Linked DNA regions of Caenorhabditis elegans. The protein of the gene in region 1 purifies or fractionates together with the protein of each later gene. This does not show direct contact. Each region holds a gene or a part of one and is shown in the gene's direction. Other genes may lie near its edges.

Region 1 (7,814 bases):
TAAACTCAGAAATTTCCAGGAAGTCTGCCAGAAGATGTCGTTCTCCGTGAGCGCCGCCGCCAAGTCGGAAATCCTTGTCGACACACACGGATCGAAGAAGGTGGTTACATTGAATAGGCCTAAAGCGCTAAACGCGTTGAACCTCGAAATGGTACGAGAGTTTTATCCCAAACTTCAAGCCTGGAATTCATCTTCCGATGTGGATCTTGTCATTTTGAAAGGATCCGGTGATAAGGCGTTCTGTGCTGGAGGAGATGTTCTTGCCGTTGTGCGATCTTTCAAAGATTCGGAGAGTGGAAAAGAGTGCACAATGCACAAGGATTTCTTCCGCGAGGAGTACATTTTAAATCATTTAATTGGAACTTTGAATAAGCAATACGTTTGTCTGATTGATGGAATTGTGATGGGAGGAGTAAGTTATCTGCAACTATTTTCTTTTCAATTTTTTAAAAAACTTGTTTCAGGGTTGTGGTCTTTCTGTAAATGGACGTTTCCGAGTTGCCACTGAGAAAACAATGCTAGCAATGCCAGAAACCGCACTTGGACTCTTCCCAGACGTCGGTGGATCCTATTTCCTTTCAAGGCTCAAGGGAAACCTCGGAATGTACTTGGCACTCACTGGATATCGTCTTCTAGGTGCTGACGCTTTCCATGCTGGTCTTGCCACTCATTTTGTGGAGTCTTCGGAACTTGCGAAATTGGAAAAGGAACTTGTGAATATTAAGGATGTGACAGAGAACTCTGTCGATGAAGTCATCAGATCGTTCGAGCCAAAGAAGATTCCAGAATTCAGTCTGTCCAAGAATTTGGCTCAAATTAGAGATTCCTTCAAAGCAAAGTAAGATATTTTGTCACCAAGATCACGTGTATTTGAGTTGGAACAAATTAAAAAGTAGCATTTCATCGAATTGATTTATTATTGTTTCTCAGATAATATTAGTTTTAAGCAAAAACTAGGAAAGGGCCAGTTTTGAGGATTCGATAGCACACAAAAAATTACATTTGCCTAAGATATATAAAATAATTGATTTTTCAGAAGCGTCGAAGAAATCCTCGCAAGCCTCGAAAAAGACGGATCCGACTGGGCAAAGAAGCAAGCAGCCACTCTAGGAAAAATGAGCCCAACTTCCCTGAAAGTAACTCACCGACAAATCACCGAAGGAAGCAAGATGAGCTATGCAAAGATCTTCACAATGGAGTATCGTCTCACTCAACGATTCCTCGCCGATAAGGATTTCCATGAAGGGTGCCGAGCCAGTGAGCAGAGATTTTGTAGGGTTTCATTGAAAATTTGACTCATTTTTCAGTTCTCGTTGACAAGGATCGCAAGCCAAAGTGGAATCCAGCGACGTTGGCTGATGTGAAGGATTCTGTCGTCGATAACTATTTCTCGCCATTGCCAAATAATTCTGATTTAAAATTGTAGAGGCCAGAATTAGCGGAAAATTGAATTTTTAATGGAAAGCTAAAAAATCAGGGAAACCCATAATTTTTATCGGATTTCCTCGTTTTCCTATCTTTTCACCCAAAATGTTGATTTTCCCCCATAATTTTTACCATTTTAATAGGAACCCCTTATGTATTTATTTTTAGAAAAATGTCTAGCTATAATTTAATTTTTCCGGGTGTACAAATAATTTCCGTGCCTTTTTCAGCTATTCGCCGTATGAATATAAAGTTTTTTTTTGTTTTTGAATTTTATTTCCAGATTTCTATTGCAAACTGTTATTTTCTGTTTTTGTACCTCTTTTTCAAATAATTTTTATTCTAGAATTTCAGATTTTCAATACCAATTTTCAGATGACAATTGGCCAAGTGAACGGCCGCGCTCGCATAAAATCCGAGTGCGGCAAGGATCAGAAATGCATGCCACTCGAGGACAAATGGCTTCTCGTTCCCGCGTTTTTGAAAGTTCGAGGACTCGTCAAACAGCATCTCGTCAGTTTCGATCATTTCGTGCAGGAGGAGATCCGAAGTATCATGCTCTCCAATCAGAAGATCACTTCCGATGCAAATCCAAACTTTTATCTCAAATATTTGGATATTCGAATCGGAAAACCCAGCAGTGAGGAGGGTCTCAACATGACTCACGATAAGATTACCCCTCAAGAATGTCGACTACGAGATATGACCTACTCGGCGCCAATTTCAGTGGATATTGAGTACACACGTGGTAATCAAAGAGTATTCAAGAAGGATCTGATCATTGGTCGAATGCCGATTATGCTTCGTTCGAGTAAATGTATTCTCAGAGATCTTGCCGAAGAAGAGCTTGCAAGAGTTCAAGAATGCCCATATGATCCAGGAGGTTATTTTGTGGTCAAAGGAAGTGAAAAGGTTATCCTGATTCAAGAACAACTCTCCAAAAATCGTATTATGGTTGGAAGAAATTCAAGTAAAGAACTGCAGTGTGAAGTACTTTCGTCGACGTCCGAGAGGAAAAGTAAGACATATGTGACTATGAAGAAGGGTAAATATTCTGTTCGCCACAATCAGCTCACCGATGATGTACCAGTTTCCATCATTTTCAAGGTAAATTTTGAGAATTTTGATGACAACTGAAAAAAAAAATGTTCGGCATTCATTCCTAAATATTTTATTTAAAAAAAAAAACATCCAATACAAAAACATTCTCCGAAAAATATTTTTCCAAATTTTGATGCAAAAAATATTCTCAAAAAATGTTTTAGAATAAAAAATAATGAAGCTTTCTTTCTTTCTGATTGTGAGAAACTGAACATTTTACGATATTTTCAATCGAAATTCCTCAAAAACATTTATTATCGAATCTGGAGTTTTTCAGATTTTTTTTTCCAAAATTCGAGTTCGCTTTTTTTAATTCAAGAAAATTATTACAAAAAATAGGGAAAATTTTAAAAAAAGTGTAGCATTATGTTAAAACAAAAACTAAAAACCGCTTCCTTTTCAAAGTTTCAATTTTCCAGGCGATGGGAGTCGAATCAGATTTTGACATTGTGAGTACAATCGGTCACGAGGAGAAGTACGTTTCAGCATTTGCTCAAACTCTCGAAGAATCCATAAATGCCGGAGTTTATACCCAACAGCAGGCACTCGCATATGTTACCTCAAAAGTCAAGGCTCGTAAATTCACACCATTCGGATCACTTCCAGGAACTTCAGTGAGCGTCTTGACTCCACCGAAAGAACACGAAGCAGTCGATTTTCTGTCCAATTCAATGATCACACATATTGCTTGCCCAGATGGAAATTTCAAAATGAAGGCGATTTATTTGGGATTAATGACAAGACGACTGATTCAAACGGAACTCGGAGAAAATGGGCTTGATGATCGGGATTTCTACGGAAATAAACGTTTGGAGCTCGCTGGATCATTGCTTTCGTTGCTGTTTGAGGATGTATTCAAAAGATTCAACTCTGAACTGAAAAGAATTGCAGACAATGCGTTGATGAAGACAATGGCTGCACCATTGGATATTGTGAAGCATATGAGACAAGATATGATTACGAATACTATAGTGAATGCTATGTCGACAGGAAATTGGATTATCAAAAGATTCCGAATGGAACGACTTGGTGTTACACAAGTACTAAGTAGATTGTCATATATCTCAGCACTTGGTATGATGACAAGAATCAACTCGACTTTTGAGAAAACTCGAAAAGTCTCTGGTCCTCGATCCCTTCAACCATCTCAATGGGGAATGCTTTGTCCGAGTGATACTCCTGAAGGTGAAGCTTGTGGTCTTGTGAAGAATCTCGCTTTGATTAGTCACATTACAACTGATTCCGATGAGAAACCCGTTCTCAGATTGTTACTCAATTCGGGAGTCGAGGATTTACATAATGTGCATTTCTCGCATGTCAATAAGCCGTGAGTTTTTACAAATTAAAATTTTAAGTGTGAAATCTTGAAAAATAAAAGTTTTGAGAATGCTAGTTTTGAAAAAATCGCATATTTTAATCAATTTTTATAAATTTCTAAAATAAATTATCAATTTCATAAAAATTAGATTTCAAATCGAGTTAAGGTTTGACAATTTTTGAAAATTACTAGATCCATTTTTTTGTGTTTTTTCCTAAAAAAAAGGTTATTTTTATCGAAAATTTTCAGTGAAAACACGTTGATCTTCTTAAACGGAGTGCTCATTGGAACAGCTGTGGATCCAGAAAGAGTGGTGAAAGCCGTCAGAGATTTGAGAAGGTTTCAACAAAAAAATGTTGCCAAAAAATTCATCGAATTTCAATTTCAGAAGTGGACTCCTGTCAGAATTTGTTTCAGTATCCCGTTCTCTAACCAATCGTTCTGTTTTCATTTCATCAGACGGTGGCCGCCTGTGTCGACCATATATTATTGTCAAAAACGGAACTCCAATGCTCACACAGGCTCACGTGCAGGAACTGAAAGAGGGAAAAATGATTTTTGAGGATTTTGTTGATGACGGAATTGTCGAATATTTGGATGTAAATGAGATGAACGATGCGTTGATTGCCGTTTATGGGAGAGAAATTGGCCCAGAAACTACACATTTGGAGGTACGTTTTTGAACTTTGTGAATCTAAAAATGAAAAAAATTAAATCGAAAACTGGTTGTTCTTTCCTGTAAAGAAAATTCAAAAAATTTGGTAAAATTTGTCTGAAACTTAAAACTATGTGAAAAAAGTTTAAATTCTCATTTTTTTAAATATAAAAAATTGAAAATCAAATTATTTAGAGCTCTAAAATTCTATAATTCAAGGAAATTCCAACATTTAAAGATTTTTATCCTTAGTTTAAAATAAAATTTGCACTTTTCAGTGTCTGAGCTATTAATAATCTTTCAAAATTTCCAGATTGAGCCATTTACTCTTCTTGGAGTGTGTGCTGGTCTTATTCCATATCCACATCATAATCAATCTCCACGTAATACTTATCAATGTGCTATGGGTAAACAAGCAATGGGAACAATTGCCTATAATCAACAGAAAAGAATTGATTCAATTATGTATCTTTTATGTTATCCACAGAGACCACTCGTTAAGTCAAAGGTTCGTTAAAATTGAAATATTTTAAAATTTATGAAAAAAATTTGATTAAAAAATGCATGTTTCATTTATTGAACTAATGTTTGTGGAGAGATATCGTTAATAATCCTGAAAATAAAAATAAATCAATTTCCTGAATTCCGAAAAATAAAAAAATCAAATCGGAAGTATCCGCTATATCTTTCTAATCAATTATTCTATTCAGAAATTTTTAATTTGTTTTTCTTTTAGAAAATTATCAATTGTTCAAACTTTTTACATCACAATTTTCCAGACAATCGAACTGACAAACTTTGAAAAACTGCCGGCCGGCGCGAATGGAATCATCGCAGTGATGTCATACAGTGGTTACGATATCGAAGATGCTCTTGTGCTCAATAAAGCTTCACTGGATCGTGGTTATGGTCGTTGTCTGGTCTACAAACATGTGAAGGGAACCGCCAAAAAATATCCGAATCAGACATTCGATCGTCTTCTAGGACCAGCATTGGATCCGAACACGAGAAAACCAATTTTCAAGCACAAAAATCTCGATCAAGAGGGTATTGTATTCGCCGGAGCACGTATTATGCCGAAACAGACGATTATCAATAAGCACATGCCAGTTGTCAGTGGAGAAAGTGGTCCTGGAGCGTCGGCTTCTGCCAATACAAGTATGTTGAAATGAGCATGACGAATTTGTATAAGGAAAATAAAAACGGAATGTACAGTTTCGAGAAGACATCTATTTTTTTAAAAGTTTTACGAAAAAAAACACGAAAAATATAAAAAAAAAAGAATAATAAACAATTCCCAGACCAACCTCGTAAAAATGAAAGCGAGTTTTCAACAGAAACCCTGTTTTAAAACTTTTTCCAAAAAATCTGAAGTATTTATAGCATTTTTTAATTTTTACCAATTAAACAAATGTTTTAAAAAAAAACTCAAAGAAACTGTCTCCGTTCTTTTTTGCGAATATAAATTTTCTAACTTTTTTACGTTCACAATTAAATAAAACTTGACATTTATTCCGTTCAAATATTCAATTAATTTAATTTAAAACGAAAATTTAAATATAAAACTCTGAAAAAGTAAAAAAAAAAACGTTCACTAACAATTCTTTAAATTTTCAGTCGGAATCGCTGGACGCCAAGTTGACTACAAAGACGTCTCGATCACGTATAAAACTCCAACTCCATCATATGCGGAACGAGTTCTTCTTACCTATAATGAAGATGAAGCTCATTTATTCAAAGTTCTTCTTCGACAAACCCGTCGGCCAGAACTTGGAGATAAATTCTCATCTCGACACGGACAAAAAGGAGTATGCGGATTGATTGCTCAACAGGAAGATATGCCATTTAATGATCTTGGAATGGTGCCAGATATGATTATGAATCCTCATGGATATCCATCTCGAATGACTGTCGGAAAATTAATGGAATTGTTATCTGGAAAAGCTGGAGTAGTGAATGGAACATATCATTATGGAACAGCATTTGGTGGAGATCAGGTTAAAGATGTCTGTGAAGAATTGGCTGCTTGTGGTTATAATTATATGGGAAAAGATATGCTGACAAGTGGAATTACTGGACAACCATTATCTGCTTATATCTACTTTGGACCAATCTATTATCAGAAGCTCAAGCATATGGTTTTGGATAAGATGCACGCCCGTGCCAGAGGACCGAGGTGTGGAGAGATTTTGAATTTAGATAATGTCTTGTCTGGAAATTCTGAATTTTGGAAAGAATTTTCAATTAAATATTTAAAAATTAAGTTTAGCAACAAAATCTGAAAAAGAAAAATTTTTAGAACAGTTAACTCTGCATTTTCCAACTTTCCTTTAAAACTTTTGATGTAAAACAATGAGGAATTGCAACATTTTTTTAATTAGAAAATTTGGTATCAATCAAAATTCACTTATTTTTATCATGGTTAAAATTTCGAAAAAAGCCAAATTGAAAAAGTTCTGAAAAAGGAATTGACAAAATGCTCGAAGCTTAGGAAATTAGGGGAAAAAAGAATCAATTTTTCATAGTGGAAATACATTTTTTTCAAATCCAATTCGCGGAAATGTTATGCATATTTTGGAACAAAAAAAACCATTTTAATTTTTCTCACATTTTTTAAATTAAAAAAAAAACTTTTTTTAAAAATTTTTTTCAATTTATTCTCAGAGTTTCTTTTAAAAATCTATAAATTTTCAGAGCCGCATTGACTCGCCAGCCAACAGAAGGAAGATCACGAGAAGGAGGTCTACGTCTTGGAGAAATGGAACGTGATTGTCTCATTGCCTATGGAGCATCGATGCTGCTTATTGAGCGTTTGATGGTGTCATCAGATGAGTTTAAGGTAAATTCCCTTACCGAGTTTTTTTTAAAAGTTTGCTACTTTTGTGTGTGTGCGCGCAATTTTTGCTCATCATTACACTAGCCGTAACACTCTCAAGTGGTTCTTTTTTGCGAAAATGAGGAGCGAAACTGTTGCGGGAGAGACTGGGAGAAGCCTTGCGTGGGTTGACTTTGCGGGTCGACTTTTCTTGGAAACTGGGTTGACGTTTTTTGGAAAGGTTCTTGAAAATTTTTGATTTACCGCAGAGAAAATTATGGATTTTGTTTGATCATGAGAGAATACATTTCCCGACTTTTATCTGAAAATATCGAAAAAAAAGGTCGGAAACCGATTATTAATTTTTTTTTGAACTCCCACTTTTTTATAAGAACAGAGAAATCGATTTTAAAAAAAGCATTTTCCCTAAAAACTTTTTAAAAAAAGCAAAACTTTCTATTTTAATGGCTCTGAATCTCTGTTGCTCGGAAGTTAAAAAA
Region 2 (6,529 bases), on another chromosome or scaffold:
TTTTCGGCAATTGCCGTGTTTCAGGCGAATTCGTCAAATCGACAATTTGTCGGTTTGCCATTTTTCCTGAAATTTTAAATTCAGCAAAATTGCCGATTTGCCGGAAATTTCAATTCCGGCAATTTGCCGATTTGCCGGAAATTTTCAATTCCGGAAGTTTGCCGATTTGCCGGAAATTTTCAATTCCGGCAATTTGCCGATTTGCCAGAAATTTTCAATTCCGGCAATTTGCTGATTTGCCGGAAATTTTCAATTCCGGAAGTTTGCCGATTTGCCGGAAATTTTCAATTCCGGAAATTTGCCGATTTGTCGATTTGCCGGAAATTTTCAATAACGGCAATTTGTCAATTTACCGGATATTTCAATTCCGGCAAATTGCTGATTTTCCTGAAATTTTCAATTCCGGCAAATTGCCGATTTGCCGAAAATTTTCAATTCCTGATTTAAGATTTTAGCTAAAATTCGTCAAATTAAAGTAAAAAAAACCAAAAAAAAAAAACGTTTTTTTTTCAGATTTTCCCAGTACTTCACATTGAGCGCTGGGCTTTTGACGTTGAGCTCATCTTCCTTTGCGAAAGATGGACGGTCCCTGTGAAAGAAGTTTCAGTTCGATGGACTGAAATCGAAGGGTCTAAGATTACTCCAATTTGGTCTTGGCTTCAAATGGGCCGAGATCTTGTGCTCATTTGGTTCAGATATACGGTAAAATTGCAGTTTTTTAGGCCTTTTTTGAAGTGGTGTCAGGATGTCCCATCGCTCTACTGCACACGAAAATGGCGGGAAAATATTTTTTTTTTAATTTGTGACGTCACAGCGTATCTTGAATAATTTTCTTAATTTTAAGCGCCGATTTTTGTCAAACTTAAAAAAAAAATAAATAAATAATATCTTTCTCATTTTAATTTATAAAATTTGATATTTTACCAAAATTCTTAAAATTTAGTGGAAAAATTGAAGCAAAATACACAATAAAAATGAATAATTTCAATTGAAACGAATTTTTTTTTTCGAAAAACCATTTAAACCGTTCATTTACCAAGTTTCCGTGAATTTTTTAAAAATGATTTTCCAAATAAATTTTTGTTTAAATTGAAATTATTCATTTTTATTGTATTTTGCTTCAATTTCTCCACTAAATTTTAGAATTTTTGTAAAATATCAAATTTTATAAATTAAAATGAGCCAGTTTTTAAAAAAATTTCACGAAAATCGGCGCTTAAATTGAACAAAAGCAATTATTCAAAATGCGCTGTGTGACGTCACAAATTTTCAAAAAATATTTTCCCGCCATTTTCGTGTGCGGTAGAGCGACCTGACAATATTTTTGACATTAAAATTTTATTTTCAGATCGGAATTTGGACGGATGACCAGCCTCGCTAAATGCTCCACAAAAAATCGATACGAGATTTTCAAAAAATCTTGCCCAAAAATTTCCTTTTTCTTCTAGTAATATCTATGCTTTAATCACTTTTTTTCCCTGCTTTTTCCTGATTTTTTTTCCAATTTATGGCTGGTTGTAAATATCCATGATTCCTTGAAAATGTGATTCTATTCTTTTTTCTTTTCGCATTTTTATTATTTATTTATTTACTTGTTGGTTTTTCTTTTTTTTCTCTCTTGTTCTGGGGACTCTGGGTTTATTTTTAATGCTAAATTCAAAAAAATATCGATTTAAATGTTTTTTTCCATTTTTTTGTTTTTTTTTTCGTTTTCCCAGCGATTTTATATCTTTCCATAGAGTTTTCAGGCGAAAAAAATCAAAAAATTTCCAGGCAAAAATGGTCAAAAAAGCGGCGGCAACTAGCAAGCAGGCTACCTATCACAGTGATGAGATCGAGATGAAAGAGGAAGTTGTGCTCAATGTAGGATTTTTTGAATATTTCAAGGATGCAATCGCGCTCCATTGGGAAACGAGAGCGCTCCGCCCCCAAACGTTGGGTCTCGTTAGGAAATCAGGCGGCAAAAGCATTTTCCGTATTTTTTTAAAATTTCGTCCAGAAAAATTTTAAAAAATTCCAATTTTTTATTGAAAATCGTTATTTTTCCGAAAAAAATTGTTATACAAATTTACGAAAAAAGGCGGCGATTTATCAACTGCCGGAAATTAGTGAAAGATTACTTTTTTTCAAAAAAAATTGAAAAAATTTAAAATTGTGAGATAAACCAAGAAAAAATTAACTTTCGATTTTTTCAACTTTTTGGAAAAAAAAAACACAAACCAAAGAAAAAATGAACAAAAAAAAAGCGGATTGCGTGTATTTTTCACCACGCGTAACGTCGTTGTCGCGATGTCCTCCGGACCGAAGAGCAAGAAGCTAAAAACGCCCACGCTTGAACAGCAAATCGAAGATGGAGTCAATGCTTATATTCACTCGCAGCAGTTTGAGTTCAACTCTCCACCACGGGAAAATTTTTTTGCCAATTTTTTCGTCTCAAAAAAAAAAGGAAAAAAAAACCAAAAAACCGACATTTCTGGTCAATATTTTTTTTTGTTTTTTTTTTTTGAAGAAATTCGATTTTTTGCTTTTCGGCCGAAATTTTTATTTTTTTAAATTTTCCAAAAATTCTTCTTCAATTCCAGACCTACGACGAATGCACCGATTATGTCGAATACGACGATACAAAACAATTCGATATCAACGAGTATTGCGATCAAATCCAAGTGGCAATGGTCAATGAATCCGACGATGGAATGACATTGGAATTTGATATTACTCGCATTGAAGCTCCAATTGCAAATGCTCTTCGCCGTGTGCTCATCGCCGAAGTGCCAACGATGGCTCTCGAGAAGATTTATCTCTATCAGAATACTTCTGTAATTCAAGATGAAGTACTCTGCCATCGTTTGGGTCTTCTGCCGCTTCGTGTGGATCCACGTGGATTTCAGTTTCCAAAGGAAAAAGTCGTTGGAATCAATGAGAAGGGAGTGGATTGTGACGAGGAGCCCGAGGGAGATCCCGCGAAAAATTTGATCTTCAAGATTAATGTTTCGTGTACGAAGAATCGAAATGCGGTGCCGACGGCTACCGATCCGAAGCAGCTTTATCACAATAGCTCGGTCTACTCACGTGCTTTTGAATGGGTACCGATTGCTGATCAGAAGACGCAATTCACCGAAGAAGCCCATCCACGTATGGTTTCTGATGATATTCTCGTTGCCAAGCTTCGTCCTGGACAGGAAATTGAAGCCAGTTGCCATGCGGTCAAGGGAATCGGACGGGATCATGCAAAGTTCTCACCGGTTGCTACTGCGTCCTATAGGTGTGAATTTTGAAGCTGCTGAAATATTTTCTTTTGATTTTTGCGGTTTTCCGGAAAATTGAAAATTTTTCGTTTTTCGATTTTCTCGGAAAAAGTGAAAAATTGGGGGGAAAAAAATTATAATTCATATAATATATTTTCGGTTTTACGGGACCCCAAATTCTGAGAATGCGTATTACACAAAATTTTTGACGCGCAAAATATCTCGTAGCGAAAACTACAGTAATTCTTTAAATGACTACTGTAGCTTTTAAAGAGTTACTGTAGTTTTCGCTACGAGATATTTTGGGGAAGTTAAATAATTTTTGTACATCTACCTATATTCAGTATATTTAGACTGTTTTCTGTAATTTTGTGGAAAAAAAAGTTCGAAAATTTCAAGCCAGAGGTGAATTTTTTTGTCGACAAATTTGACAAATTGCCAATTTTTTTTTATTTTCGGCAATTTTCATTTTCGGCGATTTGCCGGAAATTTTCATTTTCGGCGATTTGCTGGAAATTTTCATTTTCAGCAATTTGCCGATTTGTCGATTTGCCGGAAATTTTCATTTTCGGCGATTTGCTGGAAATTTTCATTTTCAGCAATTTGCCGATTTGTCGATTTGCCGGAAATTTTCATTTTCGGCGATTTGCTGGAAATTTTCATTTTCAGCAATTTGCCGATTTGTCGATTTGCCGGAAATTTTCTTTTTCGGCAATTTGCCAGTTTGACGATTTGCCGGAAACTTCGATTTCGGTTAATTGCCGGTTTACCGATTTGCCGGAATTTTCATTTTCTGCAATTTGCCGGTTTACCGATTTGCCGGAATTTTCATTTTTGACAAATTGACGATTTGCCGGTTTGCCGGAAATTTTCATAGAATTTGCCTACTTTTCAAAATACATGTAGGAACATTTATAGGATGCGTACAATTTAGCCGATTGAAATTGAAAATCTGAAATTTCCAAAAAAAATGTGCAAAAACACAATTTGCCGGTTTGCCGGTTTGCCAATTTGACCTTCAAATTCTTCCAATTTTTCAAAAAATTTCTTTTCATTCCAGACTGCTTCCAACGATCCGCTTGAACGCCGAAATTTCGGGTGAAGCTGCCGAACGTCTCAAATCAGTATTCAGCGAGGGAGTTATTGCTATCGAGAAGAAAGGAGGTAGATCATAAATCAATTTTTAGGAAACACACCAATTTTTTTAAAATTTCAGCCAAACGAATTGCTGTTGTCAAGGATGCTCGCAAGGATACGTGCAGTCGTAACGTGTTCCGCCACGAAGATCTGTCGAAAGTTGTTCAATTGGGAAAGAACAAACAGCATTTCATTTGTTAGTGGCAGGGCTGAATTCGAAAAAAAAAACTGAAATTCATGAATTTTTCGCATTTTTTTGGTTTTTTTTCCAAAAAAAAATACACGAAAAGTTGTCGAAAAACAAACCCCAATTTTGTTAAAGTTTGAAACCTTATTTTGAAAATTTTAAATATTTTTGCCAAATTTTAACTCTTTTTTTTAATTTTGAGAGTGGTTTTTTTGGAAAATGTATAAGTAATTTTTTTTGGAGCCGGAGTTTTTATATATTTTTTTTCGCTTTTTTTTTCGAAAAAAAAAGAATTTTCGCCAGAAACATGGTACAGACGTGCCGTTTTTCGATTTTTTTTTTGAAAAAATTTTTAAAACGAAAAGTTGAAAAATTGGAAATTGGGAAAAGAAAATTTTTGAGTTTTCGAACTTAAAAAAAACGAAAAAATTTTTAAAAAAAATGTTCAGAAAATTAAAATTGAGCAGAAACTGGGGAAAATTCGAAAAATTCTGAAAAATTCACAAAAAAAACCCATTTTTTCGAACTTTTTTCCGATAAAATTACAAAAATCCTAAATTTTCTACTTTTCAAGGGCCCGAATTTTTGTGGAAAATTAGTAAAAATCGGTTAAAATTAACCATTAAATATGATTTTTTCTAATGGGGTTATTCAAGTAATGTAGCAATTTTTTTTTTTTTTCGCAAAAATTTTTTTACACTTTTTAATTTTCCGACACTACTTGAATAACCCCATAAATCAATTTTATCGAAACTGATGAGAAAAAAAAATTTAACGAAAAAAAAACACAAAATTTCGTCGTCAGAAATTTTTCGATTTTTCCCAAGTTTTCTAATTTTTTTGGTTGAGAAAGTCGATTTTTTTTAAATATAAAAAAAAAACCGAAAAAAACGTAGGAAAAAAGAGGGAAAAACTATAAACTTATTTAAAAATAAATTATATTTCAATGAGAAAAATGAAAATTTCTTCAAAAATACAAAAAAAAACCAAAAAACCATTTAAAAAAATTGCCAAAATTTCAAATTTCTTTTTTTTTAAACTGAAAAAAAAACACACAAAAAATTTTTCACAATTTTTACCGGCAAATTCGGCAAATTGGCAATTTGCCGGTTTGCCGATTTGCCGGAAATTTTGAATTCCGGCAATTTTAGTTTTTTTTTCAGTCAGTGTAGAGTCGACTGGAGCTCTGAAATCGTCTGAATTGGTGGTTGAAGCCTGTAAAGTCATGGAAATCAAGTGTCGTTCTCTTCGCAAACAAATCGAGGCTCTTATTCAATAATCCCCGTTTTTTTGAAATTTTGTTACTATTTTTTTATTCGTTATCCTTTTTTTTTGTTGTTGTTTGACTACCCCTCAAGTTGTTACACTGTTCCGTCACTTTCTTTTTTCTTAATTTGAATGAATTTTCGTGGCTTTTTTACCTTCAAATATCTCCTAGTTGGCCAAATGGTTGAAATTTCCATTTTTTATTTGTTTTTTTTGTAGTTTTTTAACAGGTTCATAGAAAAATCATTCATTTTTTCGGTTTTTTCAGAAAAAAATTATTAAAAAATGGAAAAACTCCAAAATTTTGAGCTATTTTCTCAAAATATTGGAAAACGAATTCTTTTCGATTTTCAGAAAAATTAGAAACAAAACTTTAAAAATCATCAATTTTTGTCTATCCTGATGAAAAAATATAATTTTCTTCAAAAAATTAAAAAAAAAAACCAAAATTTGAATAAAAAATTGTAAAACTAACATTTTCGGTTTTCCGGAAAATCGAAAAAGCGAAAAATCTTTTCTTTGCAGAAAAAAAGAAAAATCAATTTTGTTCTAAAAAATATCCTTTTTCGAAATACTGGAAAAACGGGGCAGTTTTCGAATTTTTTTCAGAAAATTGAAAAAAAAACGATTGTTTTTAGAAAACTAGCAAAAATTCAATATTTTGTCGAATTATATAATTTCTAAAAAATACCAA
Region 3 (4,228 bases), on another chromosome or scaffold:
TGCCTAGAAAACCACGGATGGCATAGAAAACAAATTTATGGCCTAGAAAAAATATTTATGGCATAAAAAAGCTTTGACGACCTAAAAAACATTGATGGCCTAGAAAAAAATATTGATGGCCTAGAAAAAATATTGATGACCTAAAAAAACTACGAAGGCCCAGAAAAAATATTCATGGCTTAGAAAAAACATTGATGGCCTAGAAACAACATTCATGGTTTAGAAATAACATAGATGGCCTAGAAAAACCACGCAATTTTTAAATTTTCAGCAAAGTTTCAATGCGATGAATTCGGGCGGCACATTCCTCAAACTCATGGAGAAAATTTTCAGACGCCTCGAGACAAAGTGCCCAGATATGAGGTGAGCCACGTGGTTTATAAAAACATTTGTTTTTAATTTAAAATTTTCACAATGGAGCGCACTTGTATAGCAGAGATCAAAAATCGTAATTTCCAGATCGATATTTCTCACTACCGCATTCGTGAACTCACTGAGCCGCGAACGCCAGACTCCGCCCCTTGTAAAGACGGAATATGACCACTGTAAATGTATGGTTGGAATATTCGAGAGACTTATTGAAAATTTGGAAAATATTAACGAGCAGTTGACGATGATACGGCATTATGGAGAGAAACATGCTCAGGTGAGCAAAAATGATACTTATGGCCTAGAAAAACCACTGGTGGCCTAGAAAAATCACCGATGGCCTAGAAAAAACATTGATAGCCTAGAAAAAACACTGATGACCTAGAAAAATCATTGATGGCCTATACAAAATATTCTTGCCCTAGAAAAAACTATAAATGGCCTAGAAAAAATATTGATGACCTAGAAAATCATTGTTGGCCTAGAAAAATCATTGATGGCCTAGAAAAAACACTGATGGCCTAGAAAAATCATTGATGATCTAGAAAGCCACTGATGGCCTAGAAAAATTGATGGCCTTGAGAAATCATTGATGGCCTAGAAAAAACACTGATGGCCTAGAAAAACATTGATGGCCTAGAAAGATCATTGGAGGTTTAGAAAAATAATTGATGGCCTAGAAAAACCATTGGTGGCTTAGAAGACACATTGATGACCTAGAAAAATCACTGGTGGCCTAGAAAAACCTTATTGATGGCCTAATTTTCAGATGGCTGAAAGTGGGTTCACTGGAGCGATGATTGAGCAATTTGGAGAGATTTCGGTTTTCGTGATCGGCTCGCAAGATGTCGTAAAATTTAATCACGAGACTGTAAAAGCCTGGAGGCTCCTGTTGGCCTGTGTAACTGACGAGATGAAGGTTGGTGGCCTAGCATTTTCAATTCCAATTAATTTTTCGACAATTTTCAGGTCGGATTCGACAGAATGTCACGTATAAATGGCCGCCGAAACAGCTGCAATCCGCCAAGTACAGTACCCAGTGGGAATTGAGTTGCGCGTCGGATGTGGTGTATTTGGTGTGTGTACACCGTCACGTTACATTGCACTGAAATAAATTTATTATTTTATTTTATTTTTCCTCTTTTTTTACCGAATTTCGTGATTTTTCGGGTGTTTTCATGTAAAAACATTGAATAAATATATTGGAATTAATTATTTTGCCGATAAAATCGATAAAATTTAGCTTAAATGGCATCAAAACACGCTGCAAAAACAGTGGACCCGAAGGATTTGTCGCCGGCGTGGAAAGTGCTGCAAATGAAGCTCAATGAAGAGAAAGCGGAGAAAGAAAAAGCTGCAAAAGCTGAAAAAGAAGCGAATCCTGAAGGAAGTGACGACGGATTCACAAAAGTTCAGACGAAAAAGCAAAAACAGAAGATGAATCGGAAGCGGAGAGCTCAGGAGGCTCTTGCCGCCGCTTCGGAGGTCAAACGAGTTCATCATGATATTCCGGTGGTTATTGAAGATTCAGAAAGGTTCGGAATGTGTGGAAAAAGGCTAAAAATCGGCGATTTTTAGTCGAAAATCCTTGAAAAACCACGAAAAATGTATTAAAAATCGTTTTTTTTCAGAGGAGAGCTGACAAAAGTAATCGCAATCGATTGTGAATACGTCGGAGCCGGAATGGGTGGAACAACGGATATTTTGGCGAGAATTTCGATTGTCAATGAGCTCGGCAAGATCGTGTACGACAAATTCGTGAAGCCAACCGAAAAAGTCACGGATTTCCGTACTGCGGTGTCTGGAATTCGCCCGGAAAATATGATAAAAGCGATTCCATTTGATAGAGCACAAACTGAAGTTTCAAAGTTGATTGATGGAAGAATTGTGATTGGACATGCTGTTCATAATGATTTTAGGGTGAATTTTGAGGAGAAATTCGAAAAAAATTTGAAAATCAGATTTTAATATTGTCAAAATTTTTTTTTAAATAATTTTCTCCGTTTTTACCCAAATTTTCGATTAAAAAACTATAATTTTTTCCGTCAAAACGCCGATAAATTCACATTTTTAAAAATAATTTTTTCCGGAAAAATGGCTGAAAATTTGAAAAATGGTGTTTTAACGCAAAAAAGTCGGAATTTATTTGAGCGGGAATTCAAAAAACCATAAATTCGTTTAAAAAAATGTTCTAAAATTTTACTTTTTTTGGAAAACTGAGAGAAAATTAAAAAATCCCAAATACTGAAATTATTTTTTGAAAACTTCAGTTTTAATCTTAATTTTTTAAAAATAATTAAAAAAAAAAAATATTTAAAAATTCCAAAGTTTTTTTTATTGAAAAAAAATTTCCTTTTTTTTTTGAAATCGCCTGAACGAAATTTTTAAAAAAATCAAAAAATCCCAATTTTCGAAAAAAAAGTAAAATTTCAGTATTAATCGTAAATGTTTTTATGATTTTTAAAAAAATAACAAATAATTCGAAAATTATAAAAAAATTAAAATTTTGAGCGAAAATTCGAAGAATTTAAAAAAAAGAGCGATTTTATTTTTTTTTTAAGTTAAAAATTTTTTTTTTGAAAATATGAAATCAAATGTCGAAAAACGAAATAAAAAAATTATTTTTTTAAATATTTTTTTTTCAAAAAATAATTATTTTTCATTTAAAAAATTTGTAATTAAATTCAGAAACACAAAAAAACTTCCAGGTTCTGAAACTGAATCACATTCGAAAACTGACCCGAGACACTGCGAAATGCACAATTCTCAAGAATATGGCTAATCATCACGGTGTAAGTGAATTTTATTCCTTAAAAATGCATAAGTTTCGAAATTTTCAGACCCCGTCACTGAAAAAACTGGCAAAAGAAGTACTGGGAATTGAGATTCAGCGAGGAGAACACGATTCGGTAGGGGTTCTCAGGGAAATTGACAAAAATTGAAATTTTGTTTTAAAAATTCAAAAAATCTGAATAAATTATTTTTTGAAAATTTTTAAAAAATTTCAAAAAATTATTTTTTCGAAACTTTTGAAAAATTTTAAATTCCAATTTTTGATACAAAAAACCGAAAAAAAACCAGATTTTTCAGCTGAAAATTAAAATTTTCTCTCGAAAAAATCACAAAAATTCGTTTTTTTTTCAGATCACCGACGCTCGAGTGGCTCTTCGTCTCTACGAGGCCGTCAAAAAGCAATGGGAGGCCGAAATTAAGAGATATCGCTAATTTTTTCAATTTATTCTGTTTTTTGTTGTTACTCGTTGTTGTCTGTTTCGTAGAAAGTTTTATTCAGAAAAAAAAAAATCAAAAATGCAATTTCCCAATAGTTTCGCGGAAAAACCAGTTTTCCATAGTTTTCGGAGCACAATTCGGGCACATCCATTCCAGATCGCAGGTCTGGAAAATAATTGAAAATTTTTGGAACCCTAAAAAATTTCTAATTTCGAAAATTAAGTTTTTTTTTGCTAAAAAATTTTTAAAATTTAAAAAATTCGATTTTTTATCGAAAAATAACCCCATCCCGTTCATTAAAATCCTTGGGATCCCCCACAAAAATCGATATTCCACATTTTGTGAATTTCACGAAAATCCACAATTTCAAATTGATCGGACTTTTACGAATCGAGTGATTCTCGAATTTTTCAAACATTTCCTGGCGGAAAATCTGGCGGAATAATCTTTCAGCGACTGGCACGTGGAATCCAGGGAACCAGTGACTTCGCTTCATCGGACGCGATAGAATTCTCTGGAAAATGTGAAGTTTTGGCGGGAAAAACTAGGATGAAAACGCGATCTATTGAGAATTTCGACTTTAAACGGCTTTTTTCTTGAAAAATTTTGAAAAAAATCCGGTGAAAGC

The links.
Region 2: the proteins of rpc-2 (region 1) and rpac-40 fractionate together in Caenorhabditis elegans (co-fractionation; one large-scale study listed by BioGRID). This does not show direct contact.
Region 3: the proteins of rpc-2 (region 1) and Y17G7B.12 fractionate together in Caenorhabditis elegans (co-fractionation; one large-scale study listed by BioGRID). This does not show direct contact.

The regions. Positions count from the first base shown.
Region 1 is NC_003281.10:5,555,565-5,563,378, forward strand, and holds the start of rpc-2 (DNA-directed RNA polymerase subunit beta), read left to right. Parts: upstream 1-1,800; coding exon 1,801-2,532; intron 2,533-2,945; coding exon 2,946-3,853; intron 3,854-4,093; coding exon 4,094-4,183; intron 4,184-4,232; coding exon 4,233-4,515; intron 4,516-4,812; coding exon 4,813-5,007; intron 5,008-5,278; coding exon 5,279-5,657; intron 5,658-6,116; coding exon 6,117-6,675; intron 6,676-7,193; coding exon 7,194-7,338; intron 7,339-7,814. Other genes in the region: hach-1 (3-hydroxyisobutyryl-CoA hydrolase, mitochondrial), read left to right, coding at 20-412, 465-838, 1,037-1,257, 1,308-1,426.
Region 2 is NC_003283.11:4,197,712-4,204,240, forward strand, and holds rpac-40 (DNA-directed RNA polymerases I and III subunit RPAC1), read left to right. Parts: upstream 1-1,773; 5' UTR 1,774-1,779; coding exon 1,780-1,863; intron 1,864-2,582; coding exon 2,583-3,262; intron 3,263-4,305; coding exon 4,306-4,409; intron 4,410-4,461; coding exon 4,462-4,578; intron 4,579-5,732; coding exon 5,733-5,848; 3' UTR 5,849-5,985; downstream 5,986-6,529. Other genes in the region: algn-5 (dolichyl-phosphate beta-glucosyltransferase), read left to right, coding at 514-702, 1,349-1,381.
Region 3 is NC_003280.10:12,022,249-12,026,476, forward strand, and holds Y17G7B.12 (RNA exonuclease 4), read left to right. Parts: upstream 1-1,612; 5' UTR 1,613-1,617; coding exon 1,618-1,904; intron 1,905-2,000; coding exon 2,001-2,289; intron 2,290-3,077; coding exon 3,078-3,161; intron 3,162-3,209; coding exon 3,210-3,278; intron 3,279-3,513; coding exon 3,514-3,594; 3' UTR 3,595-3,672; downstream 3,673-4,228. Other genes in the region: glb-29 (Globin domain-containing protein), read left to right, coding at 272-363, 460-646, 1,139-1,288, 1,339-1,419; Y17G7B.8 (F-box domain-containing protein), read right to left, coding at 3,673-3,765, 3,884-4,114.